2 linked regions of the Bombyx mori genome follow. Each later gene encodes a partner of the first gene's protein in a complex. Links are inferred from orthologs where the notes say so. Each region holds a gene or a part of one and is shown on either strand. Other genes may lie near its edges.

Evidence for each region.
Region 2: the proteins of negative elongation factor D (region 1) and negative elongation factor B are in contact, whole or in part, in a crystal structure (PDB 8JJ6), measured with the Homo sapiens proteins. The link is inferred for Bombyx mori from reciprocal best matches to the Homo sapiens genes NELFCD and NELFB. Residues at the interface, in XP_047296144.1 of Homo sapiens: Arg63, Ile66, Met67, Glu68, Pro69, Ile71, Phe72, Leu75, Ile89, Gln90, Leu92, Ser93, Tyr96, Thr97, Ala98, Val99, Ala100, Gln101, Thr102, Val103, Asn104, Leu105, Leu106, Trp109, Leu110, Gln112, Thr113, Gly114, Val115, Gln121; in NP_056271.3 of Homo sapiens: Met49, Leu53, Leu56, Val58, Ala59, Asn60, Gly61, Leu64, Lys65, Leu68, Thr69, Leu75, Ile78, Glu79, Phe81, Gln82, Glu84, Asn85, Gly86, Val87, Leu88, Leu89, Ser91, Leu92, Ser94, Ala95, Leu96, Pro97, Phe98, Leu99.

What each region holds. Positions count from the first base shown.
Region 1 is NC_085111.1:9,519,531-9,523,826, reverse strand, and holds the start of negative elongation factor D, read right to left. Parts: upstream 2,801-4,296; 5' UTR 2,179-2,800; intron 2,150-2,178; exon of another isoform or gene 1,887-2,149; intron 1,862-1,886; exon of another isoform or gene 845-1,861; intron 731-844; 5' UTR 704-730; coding exon 641-703; intron 72-640; coding exon 1-71. UniProt on the Homo sapiens protein: Essential component of the NELF complex, a complex that negatively regulates the elongation of transcription by RNA polymerase II.
Region 2 is NC_085125.1:6,339,891-6,343,782, forward strand, and holds negative elongation factor B, read right to left. Parts: upstream 2,497-3,892; 5' UTR 2,342-2,496; coding exon 578-2,341; 3' UTR 501-577; downstream 1-500. Other genes in the region: CWF19-like protein 1, read left to right, coding at 3,317-3,333, 3,412-3,572, 3,827-3,892. UniProt on the Homo sapiens protein: Essential component of the NELF complex, a complex that negatively regulates the elongation of transcription by RNA polymerase II.

The DNA of each region.
Region 1 (4,296 bases):
GTTTTAAATTTTTCCAGACATTCATTTAATACCTCTTCAGGGTTCTCAATAACATCTTCATTTCCTTCTTCCTAATAAATGTTATTTACCAGTTTAATAAATCAAACTACATATCACAACAAAATGCGTTGGAGTAATTATTTGTAAGTACTTATTTTGATTAATAACATCAATGAAATTATGAATTGCCTGTTCTCAGTTCGTGTTAAGGTTTCAGTTTGTGTTCTTAATGTTACTCTGTTTGGCTAAGGATTAATTACATTTGTTCAGGTTGTAACTTTTATTTTAATCATATTAACCACTCTTCAATGGTATGACAAGGATTGGTAAAATAATATAAATATTCATTTAAATTAGTAAAAAGATAAAATGCTACTTTTAAAACAGATAATGGATATATAGATGTAAGAGAATTAGGTAGTCAGGGAAACAAAACATAAATCTTGTTTTTTTCTAAGTTTTAATTAACAGAATTTGTTTTTTATGGAATAATATAAATATTGTTCAGCATCAGATTTATTAAACAAATGATGAGTTTTTAAAATCAGTTTATATTCATAAAATGTATTTACTTTAAAATTGTAATAAGTCACTATATTAAAAAAAATACCTATTAGCACCAATTAAATTATTAACTTACTTCATATTGATTATTATGATTCTGACCATCCCATACACGTTCTTCCTCATACTGACTAGGCATGGTTGTATATTAAGTTGCACTCAACTTCTATAAAATATAATATTTATTAGATTTGATCAAAACAATTGCTACTGCTTATAACTATGTGTTTTTATTCGTGTTTACACGGAAATAAAGATTAATCGGAAAAGGTACACGTACAGCTTTAAACAAACAACAAATTTATGATGCTGAGGCCCTTGATTATCAAAGTTAAAACAACTAATATTCATTAAATATGAAAAAAACCTTTTTTTTCAAACTAAACAACATTTTAATTTTTACTATTATGAAAAATGAATTGGTTTGTACCATGGAGTTAATAAGGTTTGTACTAGACATGCGTAGTTCCGGACCTAAATAGTTCCTGGAACTATGTCCTCATATGGAACTATATCATTCAATCCGAGTTGTCAAAATTAACATGTTCAGACAGTTCCATTTCCATTCCAAGTGTACTGTTATGCAGGAACTACGAACGCGTTGAACATGACGGACATGCGGACATGATTAGAGCATAGGTACCGCGCGGCGCGGAGGCGTGGCGCGGCGAGTCCACCCGAACGAGTCTCGAAACGACACGAGTCCACGTAAAGAGATAAGGCGACATATGGCACGAATACGAGAGAGTGAGATGGAGCGAGTGCATGAAACTGCGTGTGGAGCTCTTTCATATTACATTTTTATTAATATTGAAGTTATGCTCTACGACCTACGTGTTACAGTCGATAGTTGAATAAATTAAAATGTTTTGCTATGGATTTTGACCTTGACCATGCATCATTCCTACGAGCACTTAACCTTAAGTGTTTGTGGACCATTTCTTAGAAAATCATAATTCAAAATTCGAGAATTTTAAAACATTCACCACTTTCGCTATTCGGTATCTCGGTTATGGGAAAAAGGTTGTAAGGCTACAACGAGCTTAATTTACGTTGTATATCAGAATAACGTGGTATTTTAATTAACAACTGATAGGTTATAGTTTCCGGTGCATCGTACAATACCTACATTGAAAAATAATGAAAGTAGTAGAGTAGTTGAAATTATGACAAAGTAATTACAGTACATTAATAAATTATGCAACCAGCTGTAACAATGAACCTAAAACTAAAAACCTTACAAAATAATAATTACAATAATAATTGCCATAAGCGGCAATCTATTTTTATATAGTGCTTTTAAAAAATTGTATTTTTAATACCTTTTTTGAAAAATATTGTGTAATTAATAATAACTTAATACGTGATTCGCTACACTACAAACAGCTACTAGACTTAACATGTCCGCGGAACTAAACAGCTTCAAACAGCTACTAGACTTAATATGTCCGCGGAACTAAACAGCTACAAACTACAAACAGCTACTAGACTTAACATGTTCGTGAAACTAAACAGTTCCGCGAACATGTTTACTGGAACTAGTTCCGACACTCAAAAGAACGATGTCATGTTCAATCCAGTTCCGAACATGATTAGCGCACGTCTAGTTTGTACCTATAGTCGGATTTTTTATTAGACGAAGTAAACTGACGTTTACTGTGTTGTCAGTTTTTGATGAAATAAAAATAGTGTTGTGACAAAGTGAACGATTGAAAAAACTCCTGAATTAATGAAATTGCCTCGATTGTCTAGTGAATAGTTAGTGTGCCGAACTGCCGATATCGGGCACGGGGTTCGAATTTTAGCCGTGCTTTGTACATACCAACGAGTTTTCGACGAAACATTATGTTCCTATGGTATCTACCTGTACTGAATACCGACTGTTTTAAACATTAAGAAAAACATTGCGAGGAAGCTTGTAAGACTGTCCTATTTCCAATGCATCATATAGTTGAAACTATAGATGTATAAAATATAACAATTATAGGTACATAGGTAATGAAAATAAAAAAAACTGATTGTAGTTACATACTACTAGTAACATATTATTATATTGGATCACTTTAATACAATTTTATTGTAAAATATAAATAATATTCTTTTATAGTTTGAAATTAATGATTAACTCTTCACACTCATTGTTCATTTATGTGATTGAACGAGAACTGAACGCATCACTATTACTTTAAATATAGCAACATTATTTCACAAAGTGACATTAGCTACTGTCAGCTGGCTTCGTCTAATTAAAAATCCGACTAATTTTTTATTAGACGAAGTAAACTGACGTTTACTGTGTTGTCAGTTTTTGATGAAATAAAAATAGTGTTGTGACAAAGTGAACGATTGAAAAAACTCCTGAATTAATGAAATTGCCTCGATTGTCTAGTGAATAGTTAGTGTGCCGAACTGCCGATATCGGGCACGGGGTTCGAATTTTAGCCGTGCTTTGTACATACCAACGAGTTTTCGACGAAACATTATGTTCCTATGGTATCTACCTGTACTGAATACCGACTGTTTTAAACATTAAGAAAAACATTGCGAGGAAGCTTGTAAGACTGTCCTATTTCCAATGCATCATATAGTTGAAACTATAGATGTATAAAATATAACAATTATAGGTACATAGGTAATGAAAATAAAAAAAACTGATTGTAGTTACATACTACTAGTAACATATTATTATATTGGATCACTTTAATACAATTTTATTGTAAAATATAAATAATATTCTTTTATAGTTTGAAATTAATGATTAACTCTTCACACTCATTGTTCATTTATGTGATTGAACGAGAACTGAACGCATCACTATTACTTTAAATATAGCAACATTATTTCACAAAGTGACATTAGCTACTGTCAGCTGGCTTCGTCTAATTAAAAATCCGACTATTACATATTTATATTTATTTTATTTTTAATTTTTTAAATTAAATTGTATACCAATTAATTGCTCCTTCAGGATTTATATTTGTTTTTTTTTCACGACTAAAACCGCGTAGAAAGTTTAGCCATTATAGTTGACGCATGCGCAGTACACATATTTTGCATACATTTATTCAACTAATAAAAATAGTAAATTAAACAAAAAACGAGTAACTTCGAAAGAGAACAAACGTGTTTTATATAAGAACAATCGAAAATGAATATTTACGAGTCATTAAGGATGAAAAATATTAAAAATTGCATTAGAGGGGCTAACTTGTAGGTATATTTTTAATTTTTTTTTTTAAATAAATAAATGCAGAACAAACAATTATTAACAGTGAACAATCATGAACAAATGATGAACAAACGAATTAATAGAAAATAAGTATAAAATAGGAAAAAAATATTTTTTTGAGGGGCTAACTTCATTCACCTGGCTATGTCAGCGTAACCCTAACTTTAGTAGGTGAGCTCACGGGGCTCAAACCTGGTGAAGTAGGTGAGCTCACGGGGCTAGTAGTAGTTTTATTTTTCCAAATGGAAAGGCACAGGTATCATACCACACAGCGTAATCTTTTATATGTATTTTTTATTTTATGAAATATGATACTATGAAATGAATTGAAGTTGATTAATCTATGAAACATGGCATGAAATGAAATGAGATCTCAGTAAAATGGCGGTCATTTACTGAGATTTTTTCAGTGGACTTTTTGGAGGATCCCGAGAAGTTTATGCCATAGATATGATATTTAAATATTTTTTTAAGGGATTTTATGAACTAGTAACAAAGACCTT
Region 2 (3,892 bases), on another chromosome or scaffold:
TTCTATGTCAATTCGAAGTACCTATTACAATACAACAGCAATTTCATACTTTAACCCCTATTATATTAGTTACCTACATAATTACCAGCACTATCATATTTATATTAATTGTACGAGTAATAGATCTTTGCCTATGAAATTGCCGTTTTATAATATTGCCGGGACACGTAAATAGTAATTATGGAAAACGAGTTTCGTCGCGGCATCAATGCCGCAGAAACGCCTCACAACATTAATGACGTGTATAGAGTGAACACTGGAGACGAACGCACGGTTTGGTGTTGGTTTAAATGCTTCTGTCAGGGAAATTTTGGTCTCCCTTTGGTCAACCTTAAAAACAAAATTATTGCCCTTTTATGCAGACATTCTAATGGACCCCCTTTGTAACCATCGCTCATGGACGAAAGCAATGCCAGAACCACAGACAATCAACTGACTGCTGACTTATAAATCTAAGAAAAGACAATAATTTTGTTTGGAATGTTTTGCAAGAAAACATGTTTTAAATTGTTTTAATATTTATATAATTTATATAATGTCTATAACTTAAAAGTAAATAATGAACAATGAATATTTGCTACATATGATATGGTGCTGGCGTGCGTACACTCATTAACGGGGAGTCCAGATATTCCATTTCAGTTGCACTCGGACCGGGTTCTGTTTGCGCATTTAATTTCTGTTGTAAAGTCTCATATAATTTATGTACAGATTCATTATGCTGAGTTCCAGGCTGCAGCGCTTTCATAAGAGTTTGAATTCTAGTCTCTGGTAATTTTGGATGAATATACCACAGCAATTTCAATAAGTGTCTTGTCACATTATCCTTAGATAGTCCAGCAAAGAAGAATTCATCAAATAATACAGTACTAAAATCTTCTCCTTGGAACTCATCAGGTAACTGTACTAGAAGTGCCACTAAAGCATGCAAAAATGGGTCTTCATATGCTCTACCATCTTTACAACTACCGAGAATACTAAGAATGCGAAGTAAGGCACCACGGTCACGTAATTTGGCTGCATGCAGTGTGTAGTACATTGCAATAACACCACAAACTGAGCTTTCTCTCATATAGGCTTCACAAGCATCAGGTGGAGGTCCCGAGTGCTCTATCGTAGTGATGGCAGACTCTCTTTCATCTGGAGGTAACTTATTATGTAGTGCTCTCACTTGATCATCCACCATCAATGACATCAAGGCAGGCAAGTATTTTGTGACACATTGACTATCTAATTTTGGCTCTTTGAATTCTTGAGAATCGATCATTACCCAAGCGCTCAACCCTAATGCCAACATTCTTAGCAGTAGTATTAAAACTGTACTATCTCGAGGTAGCCCTTCAGTGTTTATTAAATGTTGTAAAATTTTGATAGCTGACGTTGCTAAGAAATTGATAGCATAAGGGTCGCATAACGTCATAGAAAGATCTCCTAGAACTTGCTCCTGTCCCTTTTTAATACTGTCTAAAAAACCTTGCAGTTCCCTAGATCTTTTAATGTCTACATTCCTTTCCCTGATACAAGCATCCAAACACCATGTGAATTTATGACAAGGGTCTACAGATATGATGTCTTGAACTTCTAGGTCATGCAAGGCCATGAGAAGCTCTGCTCTTAATGTACAATAATGAACATTTCTAGTTCTTAAGAATAATGTTCTCAGGAATTGTAACACCATGTCATATAACTTAACACTAGTACCTATCATGTGGGCAAGTTTCTGAACAACTGCACCTTGTCTCCTTACTTTTGGGGAAGGGGAAAAAAATAGATTTGTAAGATTTTCATGATCAAACAGAACATCTTCTTTCTCCCTGATGTACTGACTGAGGAGTGGAGAAACTTCATCTCCAAACAGTGACTGGTTGTCTTGCCATATTTGACGCTTCACCTCAGTATCTGTGTCATTGTACAGTTCTCTGTCGCGAACTAGTACCCTTAGATACTTATCATCTATATGTGGGATATTTTTAAGAATACCCATTATAACAGGTCTTAAAGCTTTAACTCTGACGACTGGGAAGCTTTTAGATAGCAGTTCTTTGAGTTTTTTGTCATTATCCTTGTTATCTTTATTGCCAAGCTCGTTGATGTGGGCAATGAGTTTTTCACGTAATTCCTCCAGAACTGATGTATGAAAGTCAAGCCGCCGAACGCCATGGAGGTCTAGTAAAGGCAGCATCGGCCTTAAAGAAGGCAATAAAATACCGTTTTCAAGTTGAAACTCTTCAATAGCTTTCAATGGGTCGGTACAGCTTGTCAGAGCATCTCGCAAGAAAGTTTGTCCTGGTACTCCCACTTCTTCTAGACCAGTGCCTGGTAGTTTACTTGACGACGCCATCGATCTTAATTTAATTCAGTTTTTCAGTTCATTTAATAAATCAACACAAATAAATCTTAAATAAAGTTAACAACAACAGAAAATAACATAAATTAGTTTCCTGCTTAGAAATTATTGACAAGCAACTGACATTAAGCATATATTGACGTTTGACATCGAGCAGTAGTTTTATTTTTTTAACTGGAAAGGCAAATATGTCATACCATACGCCTACTCATATATATTCTTATATATGAAAAATGAAAATTTGAAGTGAAATAAAATGAAGTTGGTTAATTAATAACATGGTATGAAATACAATGAGATGAGATGATATGGGATGAAATATAATCTCAGTAAAATGGTGGTTATCTACTAAGGCTTTTTAAGTGGACTTTTTGGAGATCCCGAGAATTTACGTCCAGCGGCTTTGTTTCATTTTCCCACATTTGTGCAATTTCACAGATATTAAACAGCTAATAAACCACCGTTATTACTTTTTTTTTTAAGAGATTTTATGACCTGGTAACTGTGACTTTTAAGTCATGTCTTATTTTAATCTATATTCTTGATTTTATGAAAAATGATATTATGGAGTGAAATGAAATGAAAATGATTAATTTGAGACATTAATCAACTAGGATGAAATTAAATGAGATGATATGAGATGAAATCTAATCTCAGTAAAACGGTGGTCATTTACTAAGATTTTTCAGTGTACTTTTTGGAGGAGCCCGAGAAGTTAAGTCCAGCGTCTTTGTTTCATTTTCCCACATACCGTTATTACACAAGTGAAAACGTTTACAGATTAAAAGCCGTTCAATATTATTTGTAATCTCTTCGTAGTCTGTCATTATCATAATTATTGTGTTTTATTGGCTCAAACGACTCGTTACCAAGCCTTAAATTCTATAAAATTGACAGTGTTTTATCTAAAATCTAAAAGTTTGTATCAATCAAATTACCAATTTAAATGCCTTTCACTTGTGTATAAAAATGGATAAACAGAAAACGTAATTACTGATTGGTTTTCGTCTTAGTTTGAAAGCAATGCAAACAACTGAAATGAATTAATACATACTGCTTTTCAGATTAATATGTGGAGATGTAAATGGGAATTTCAATGCTTTGTTTACGCGCGTAGAATCGATTGTGAAGAAATCTGGACAGTTTGATTTGCTTTTATGTGTTGGAACATTCTTTGGAGATGATAATTCACAACTGGATGCATATAAAATGGGAACGAGGAAAGGTAAAAACGTTGACTTAAAATTTTTAATACGATAGAGATGGGCTCATTAGTTTACGGTCGACCCGGTATGAGATAGTCATTGGAACCTCTACATGTTTCATATTGATAATAATTATACTGTCGCTTATACTACCACGTGAGGATGAAGCATCAACATTATTGAGGCATTGGAATTGGTCAATATTAATTTGGGTGGGTTATGAATACATTTTTTTCTGACTATATATTTTTTTATCAACAATCTCAAATTACAGTTCCAGTGACAACCTATGTTTTTGGTCCATCAAATCCAGACCATGTACATCATTACTGTGAAGAAG